2 linked regions of the Xenopus tropicalis genome follow. The protein of the gene in region 2 binds, or shares a complex with, the protein of the main gene of each other region. Links are inferred from orthologs where the notes say so. Each region holds a gene or a part of one and is shown on either strand. Other genes may lie near its edges.

Region 1 (3,755 bases), on a different chromosome or scaffold from region 2:
CACAAAGTGGGCGTGGTCAAAATATTGTCCTCTTTTCATTTTTCAAATGTTGGGAGGTATGGCAGAGCACAGCATGCAGGGGAAGAGGTAAAATATAGCAGACATTTAAAAGGGGCCCTTATAAGTCTGGGAACCTTAGGCCTTGTTAATACGGCTAGAACTTCTAGTGGTACATTAATATTGTTTTGCTTTCAACTGATAAAAAATAGAAGGAAATAACATAGATTTATGTACCACTGGAATTGGCCCTGTTTATAACTTTGGCAAATGCACATAACTGTTGGCATGTCTGAAGTTGATATGCCCTTTATCAGTTTCATTTAGTAATTTTACTGGGATGTCTGGGGTTAATATGCCCTTTATCAATTTAATGTAGTCATACTGACACTTTTGAAGTTAATATGTCCTTTATTCTTTTTATTTAGTGATTATAATGGCACATCTGGGGCATGTAAAGAGGGTGTGGTATGTGGGGGCGTGGTCACAAAGCAGGCGTGGCCAAAAAAATTTCACCAACTACCCGCGTCACATATTTTTGTCCCTCTTTCTCTTAATGAAATGTTGGGAGGTATGCCCCGAGCTCGTAAATTTAACGAGTCAGGGGAGGAACGGTCGGGCAGAGGGAGCGCTGCAAGTGTCGGGTCTGGGCCGCTGGGGGCATTTATACTGATGTTGTAGAAGGGATGCATTAAGGCGACTTGGGGGCACATTGGGCTTCCAGAAGCTCTGTGTGTAAATGTATTTTTTTAATTTTACCAGCCCTTCCAGTAAAACAGGTGGCAATGCTACCTACAGGTCCAGTCACTTGCAGGCACCCTGTTTAGAAGCAAAAGTCTTATTGGTTGCTATGGGTTATTGCACCCAGGCATTTGGGGATATGTCTGCCAGCTGCAAGGACAGAGTAGTTTAGTAGTATGTACAGGCAACAACCATGCACCTTTTAAAAAGAATATTAATGCACAATGACAAATACGTTGTGGCACCACATAGTATTGTAAATTGTATAGCTTTACAGAATATAACCTGCGGCGTGTACTGTCATATATCATAACATCACTCAGCTGTCAAACATATTTTCACAACAGGGCGCTGAAGTTCCCTGCGTTTCCGACAGATGGCACCCTGCGCATGTGATCTTGGGGAGGAGTCGCTGAGATGAGACGCAGTGCATTTTGGGATAAGGCGCACTTTTATCTGGAAAAGAGTTCCCAGCTTTGCTTTGTTGTGGGCGGGGCGAGTAGGCGGGGCCAGTGTAAAATGCTGGGCTTAGGGGGGCGGTGGCTTTGAATGTTGGAGGCGTGTTTGTGGCAGAACTGGGCAGCTCGCCTGCTGTCCCGTCCCTCCCGCGTCTCCTCTCCGCCAGCATCTGTAGGGCTCGCCTCGGCCGCCACTCATGGCGCTCTAGTGGCTGCAGTTCCCCCCCACAGTCCCAGTGCGCCCTTGGGGCCGCTCCTTTCCCGAGCATGGCACCGCGGAGTTCCTCGGACAAGCGTGGCATGGACTCCTCTGACTCCTCCCTGCAGCAGCAGCCTGCATGTGCCTGTCCGAAACGTTGTGGGAGCTGCCGGCTCTTTCTGGGCTTTTTCGTCCTGTCATTGTCCTTACACCTGGTGACCATTTGCTGCTATCTGGAATTGCGCTCGGAGTTAAGACGGGAGCTGTCTAGGGGTTCGGGGACAAGTGAAGCTCCGGTAGGGACTTTGCAGCAGTGGAGGACTGCTTTGCGACTGGTTGACATGCAGCAGCCCAACGACCGGCGACAGGTACCTTCCACTCTTTCATTTAGTGGGAAGTCATTCAGAAATATTTACAGAAGTACAACTTTCAGCCCCTCCTACTCCACTTCTGGGAGTTGTAGTTTCACAACAGCACCAGGGGCCTCTGCAGGGAGAGATGTGCCTCAAGTTGCAATGGGATGTGTTTAGGGATGTGCAGCAACCTGTCACTCTTCAGCTGTTACATGAATGCTGTCAGTGCATGCCAGGGGGTGCTGGGGCATCACTTTAGATGATCAGTGTAGCGCTCCGGCAGGATTTCCAGTGGTGAGGATGCCCTGGAAGCTGGCCCATCTGGTACCCTTTGGGACATACAGAGGGGAGGACCACTGTCCTAGAGATGCTCACCTAAAACTGTCAATCATTATCTTCCTTATCAGGCAGCTAAATCAGTGCTTATCAGTTATGGGGATTCCAAGCTTACTAATGTGTGCTTTATCTGAACAATTCACTGCTACCTTCATTGTCTACAGGCATGTTAAAGAGATACATCCTACAGTGGTTAACTGCAACTTCCAGCACCTCTGGCACCCACTGACTGCTGCAGGATGTAAACCCAAAGCTATCAGTTTGCTTAATGAAAGAAAATGTCATTCTAAACAGCTTTCCAATATATCTAGTATAAATAAATTTGAAGCAACTGGACTTGTTTAGTAATCATTGAAGACGTTTCACTACTCATCCGAGCAGCTTCTTCAGTTCAGTTGAACTGAAGAAGCTGCTCGGATGAGTAGTGAAACGTCTTCAATGATTACTAAACAAGTCCAGTTGCTTCAAATTTATTTATACTAGATATACCATGACCTGGATGAATGAAAATCTTCATAGACAGCTTTCCAATATACCTTCATTCTAAACGTCAATGATTTCAAAGTTATTTGTAAAAGTAATACCAATAGAGATAGAGAGAATAGAAAGGGACTGCACTCTGTAGCAATTATACAATACATATATATTGGAGGGTTGCTTTGCATAACAAGTACCTTAATTAAGCAAAATTATATTTGGGTTTACATCCCCTTTAGCGCCTGTATCAGATGATACCATCATTCTGCTGTGTTGAGCCTATGTATGGTGTGCATTGGTGGCAAGCTCTTGTATGTATTTGCATAGCATGGAAAATATAATATATATAAGTGGTAGTGGACTGAGCAAACACCTTACTGTTGTAATGGAAAGAACAATCTCCTGTCCTTTGTTACAAGAGAGAAAAGTGGATTTAGTCTAGTAGAATGCAAACTTAGCCTTTTGCATCTGAATGGAACAAACCAAATGGAACTACATAAGTTTATTCTTCTTGCCATGTTAATATTTACTGCTAAATTGTATATTAGATTGGCCCCATTGCTGTTTGCTGTCCGTGAATTAATGGAACCCTGTTTGGTGTTGGTATAAGGGTATCACCTAGGATTGTAAATGCAGATGGTTTATTTACAGTAATGGCTGCCATGCATGCATTGGTATTGCCAACTGTGCTTGTATAGGCAGCTTTTAGAACATATTGTCCTACAATTCCATTAAATTGCAGTTGGTCTGTCCAGACTAAAAATGTGATGGTTCTTGTTAATGAACATGAGGCAGTGGCAGTTTTGGAAGTGAGATGGGACACAGCTCATTTAGTGAATCAGAGCCATTGGGCTATCCATGAATGCAGTAGATTTGGAAAAGAGTGGGACTGCGGCTCTGCCAAACAAATGAGCAGTTCTATTCAGCAAGCCACATGAGTTGAAGAATATTTGCCTGGACAACTTGATACATCTCTAAATTTTACTTTTGTATGGCCAACCAGTGAACTAATTCTCTGCCTTTTGTGGTCACCATTAGAACTGGCCCTCAGGCAGTTGTACTGGAATCACTGAACCGCAGCATGTCTCGCAATTATTTTTGTGTGACTGCCAATGGTTTGTGTGAATTTGCAGTTCAGTAGAAACCATTCATTTGCCCCCCAGCTACAGGGGCATTGTATTCAACTCTGTAGTG
Region 2 (3,655 bases):
TCCTGCAGATCAAAAGTCAAAAGTGCTGTGTATTTAGAGCTACAGAAGCCCATATATATAGCAACCTAAATGCCTTGGCTGTCAGGTGTCTTTGCATGAGCAGTAAGGCCTGTATTTTTAGTGCCATAATCAGGATACTGGGGTCTAGTGTTCATAGAAGGGAAACTCTTAAAAGGTAAGGGAGTTATTTATGCAATGCATTAAGTGTCAGATAAGTACTGGCATCTTACCCCAGTTAATTTGCTGTTTGTGGTGGATTTGTCCCTTGCCAGGTGCACTAATGATAAGAGGCAGAGCTCCGCGCTCCCTTGTTTGTCAATGGCTGCCTCTTCATCGCTGTCCATGCTACGGCTTAAAAGACGCTCATTCTCTGACGAGGCATCATTTTCACTAAAACATTATATATACATATGTTAGTATAGTTTTGCCATAGTTCCAATTCGATTTGCTCTGTATACCCTTAATACATTAGCAATGACATTGGTGCTCTCTCAACTTGGCTTGGAGGCTGAACACAGTGCTATGTCTCAAGCCCCATCCCACTGTACAGGTGGGAAATTCTGACACCCTGCCAGTAGACAATATTGTAGCAGGGGCTAGAAGATATATTACAAACACAAAAAGTACAGACACTCTCTAGTAAATCAGAACTTATACAAATATATAAGTTTATAAACATTTTGTATTTTGGAAAGTAGCCATAATTAAAAGCCTGTATTATAACTCTACCCACTGCACTGTAAGTTAGTCCTTATTTACACATAAGGTTGACCTTACTTTTTTTGGCAGCTAGCTGCTTTCGTTCAAAGACTATTGTGCTTATCAAGAGGCACCATTATATTGCACCTATTAAAAAGGAGTTGCAACCAGACTGCACATCAGACTGATCCCCACTCAGTCCCCAACACCACAAGGCCCGCAGCAGTTGCTCAATCTACTGCCCTTGTTGCTAGGCAACTGGTCTCACATTATAATGAAAGGAAAGTGGAATTACTATGGAATATGTTCATAGTTGCTTACTTTTTTTCTGTTTTAGTCTGGGTCTCGGACAATTTTTCAAATTCATCTTTTTCAGAAAAGATATTTTCAGCTGTAAAACATGTAATGACATTACTAATTAATATGTAAAAAAAACTTACTTTGATCCTGTGGATGATAGTATACAGTATAAAGGCTAAACACAATGTTCAACATATATGGAATATAAACAGAGGTACAAGAATATATTTTAATGTATTTTTTTCAATTAACTTGTAATGTACTGTATTTTTTTAATGTATCTGCCCAGAGAGAGAACCTTATTTGGCAAGTGTAAGTTTAGGACATGTACAGAGCACCATTTCTTAAAGGTGCTCTGGACACAACAGGTGTGGATGAAAGGTTTCAGGACCTCCTTAAGTGCCCATTTCAAATGCCGCACTATCAAAACTCAAAAGATAACCTAACCAGGTATGTAGAGCTGCTATGAAGGCCTAGACCATTATTGTTATATATGTTGGACCTCTGGGGTAGTAAAGTAAGTTCAGTATGTACTGAGGTGTATGATTAATTTACAGTTTGTTGTATACCCAGGTGTAAAACAACAATAAGAAATGTGATGTTGAGTTGATGTTGAACCACATTTTATATCCAAAAACTATAAGAAAGAATAATGTAGCCTACAATCAACAGATCAATTATACTTCAGCTACAGTTTGTTGGATTTGTATAGTTATGACACAACATATAATAGCAACATCCAAGCACCCAGTCATTATTATATACAGTATATAAAGGTGACCATGAGTGACTATAATGAAAGTGAATGCTACTGCTTATGTCCTGCTATCAAGTAATAAGTACTCCTGAGTGGGTCAGGCCTTACCTGGCACCTCCTTTTTCTCTTCCTGTTGGTTGATCTGAGCTTCCACATTCTTTGAAGGGCCGGTGCAACATGCTGTATAAGAAAGGCAAACGTTTGGTCTTGATAAGTATGACAGAATATCTTATATAATATTCCCATCGAATGAAAATGAGGTATTCTGTTTGCAATTGGTATCTTATTTCTGTAGGGGCAATTTATTTGCAATTCACTAAAAAGTGGTTTACTTTTAATAGAATACAGCATGGTAAAGAGGGACAGAATACCCTTCCCTAATATTCTGATGATTACTCAGGTATTGTAAAGCATTCTGCAGAATAAATATAGTGTTCTAGCTTGCAATATTATGACCAATCTTGGCAATAAAAGGCCTCAGTAGCTTTCCTTCTCCTTTTCAAGGGGTATACTTCCCTTTAATGCTACTTGTCCAGACCACACAGTCTCCTATGTTGGACTATGGTTGACTGAGTATTCCCCTGTGTCCTCTGTTTCCCCCAACACCATACATGTTAGTATTACCTTGAGAAGAAGGCTTGGTCTTTAAAATGTAGAACATGATGATGAGAACAATGGCTATGGCCATGATGAATATTGTTGACATTGCAATAATCAGAGCCGTGGCCAAATGTCCTTGTCCAGACACTTCTACTAAAGGGACAAAAGTCATGTTAGTTAGGCAGTCCTCCTTATAAACAAACAAGCTAATCCTGTTATGAAGCCATACTACAATGTACATTTCTTCCATTACTTATGCCTTGTGAAAGGCAATGATAAATAACATACAGAAAAGGTTGTATTATACTATATGCTGAACTGTGTATTGGATATACCCACTTCCCTAATACTTCAGAGCAGTTCCATCTTTAAAATACATTTCAAAACTCTTTGCCATAGCATTAAATGCCAACATAGTAACTTTCTACTTTAAGGGGACATATACCCACCAACAAAACTTAAATTTGTTCAGAGGGCTTTTCTTAATGTTTCACAATTTACATTAATATTTTTTTCATTTTTGTTTTCATGATATTTGCATTTCTACTAGGTAATGTAATAAATGGCCCAAATCTTACATTTCCCTAGGCTTTGTAAGTTAGCTTAACCAAGGGAAGGGTTTTGTTGACCATTAATATCCAGGCTGGCACTGTAAGTCGCTATGCCACCATCCACTTCATCAGTAGTTTTTTGGCATTGAGTAAAGAGAGTTACCATCATCTTTAACATGTGCTCTTACCTTTGTGTGGATGTTGGAAAGGGGAGATGGTGCTTGAGCCGGTTGTACTTGTGGAACTGCCAGAAATAGGGGCTGATAATCCAATACCTGTAGTGGAGACATAAATCACTTTATGGTCAGCACTAAAAAATAGAAAACTTCAAGCAAATATATGACAGTTACAAATGAAACCAAGTAAAGGCAATCCAATTCAAATCAACACCATCTTTAAAAAGGCATAATCAAACTGCTTTTGGTAAAGGTCAACTGACACTATAAATATAAATGCTATATTGCTACAGTACATTTTCACATCACACACAACTACATTTTGGCATGTTTTAATTAGCATTTATTTTTTAATAACACATTTTTTTGATATTAAATAACTAAAAATATGTCTGTCGCCCAGTGTGGGAAAAACCAAAGGCTTCATAACATACTGCGAATAAACACACTGATCATATGATTATTTATATTAATCACTTGAGTATTAATGAGAGCTGGGATTTCTTATGATCACTTTGACTTGTGTTGAACGTTAACAGTTAGAGATTAAACTAACACCACTAGGGATAGCA

What was found. Proteins that work in one complex are often made in the same cells at the same time.
Region 1: the proteins of edar (region 2) and eda are in contact, whole or in part, in a crystal structure (PDB 7X9G), measured with the Homo sapiens proteins. The link is inferred for Xenopus tropicalis from reciprocal best matches to the Homo sapiens genes EDAR and EDA. Residues at the interface, in NP_071731.1 of Homo sapiens: Glu55, Pro56, Tyr57, Leu58, Lys78, Ile86, Arg88, Arg89, His90, Asp92, Glu94, Gly95, Phe97, Val134; in NP_001390.1 of Homo sapiens: Gln256, Ser258, Ala259, Gln261, Asp265, Asp273, Arg289, Tyr310, Tyr311, Lys340, Thr341, Tyr343, Ser370.

The regions. Positions count from the first base shown.
Region 1 is NC_030684.2:43,623,371-43,627,125, forward strand, and holds the start of eda (ectodysplasin-A), read left to right. Parts: upstream 1-1,233; 5' UTR 1,234-1,463; coding exon 1,464-1,763; intron 1,764-3,755. UniProt on the Homo sapiens protein: Cytokine which is involved in epithelial-mesenchymal signaling during morphogenesis of ectodermal organs. Functions as a ligand activating the DEATH-domain containing receptors EDAR and EDA2R. May also play a role in cell adhesion.
Region 2 is NC_030678.2:109,233,126-109,236,780, reverse strand, and holds part of edar (tumor necrosis factor receptor superfamily member EDAR precursor), read right to left. Parts: intron 3,183-3,655; coding exon 3,096-3,182; intron 2,510-3,095; coding exon 2,381-2,509; intron 1,937-2,380; coding exon 1,865-1,936; intron 1,091-1,864; coding exon 1,021-1,090; intron 391-1,020; coding exon 231-390; intron 1-230. UniProt on the Homo sapiens protein: Receptor for EDA isoform A1, but not for EDA isoform A2. Mediates the activation of NF-kappa-B and JNK. May promote caspase-independent cell death.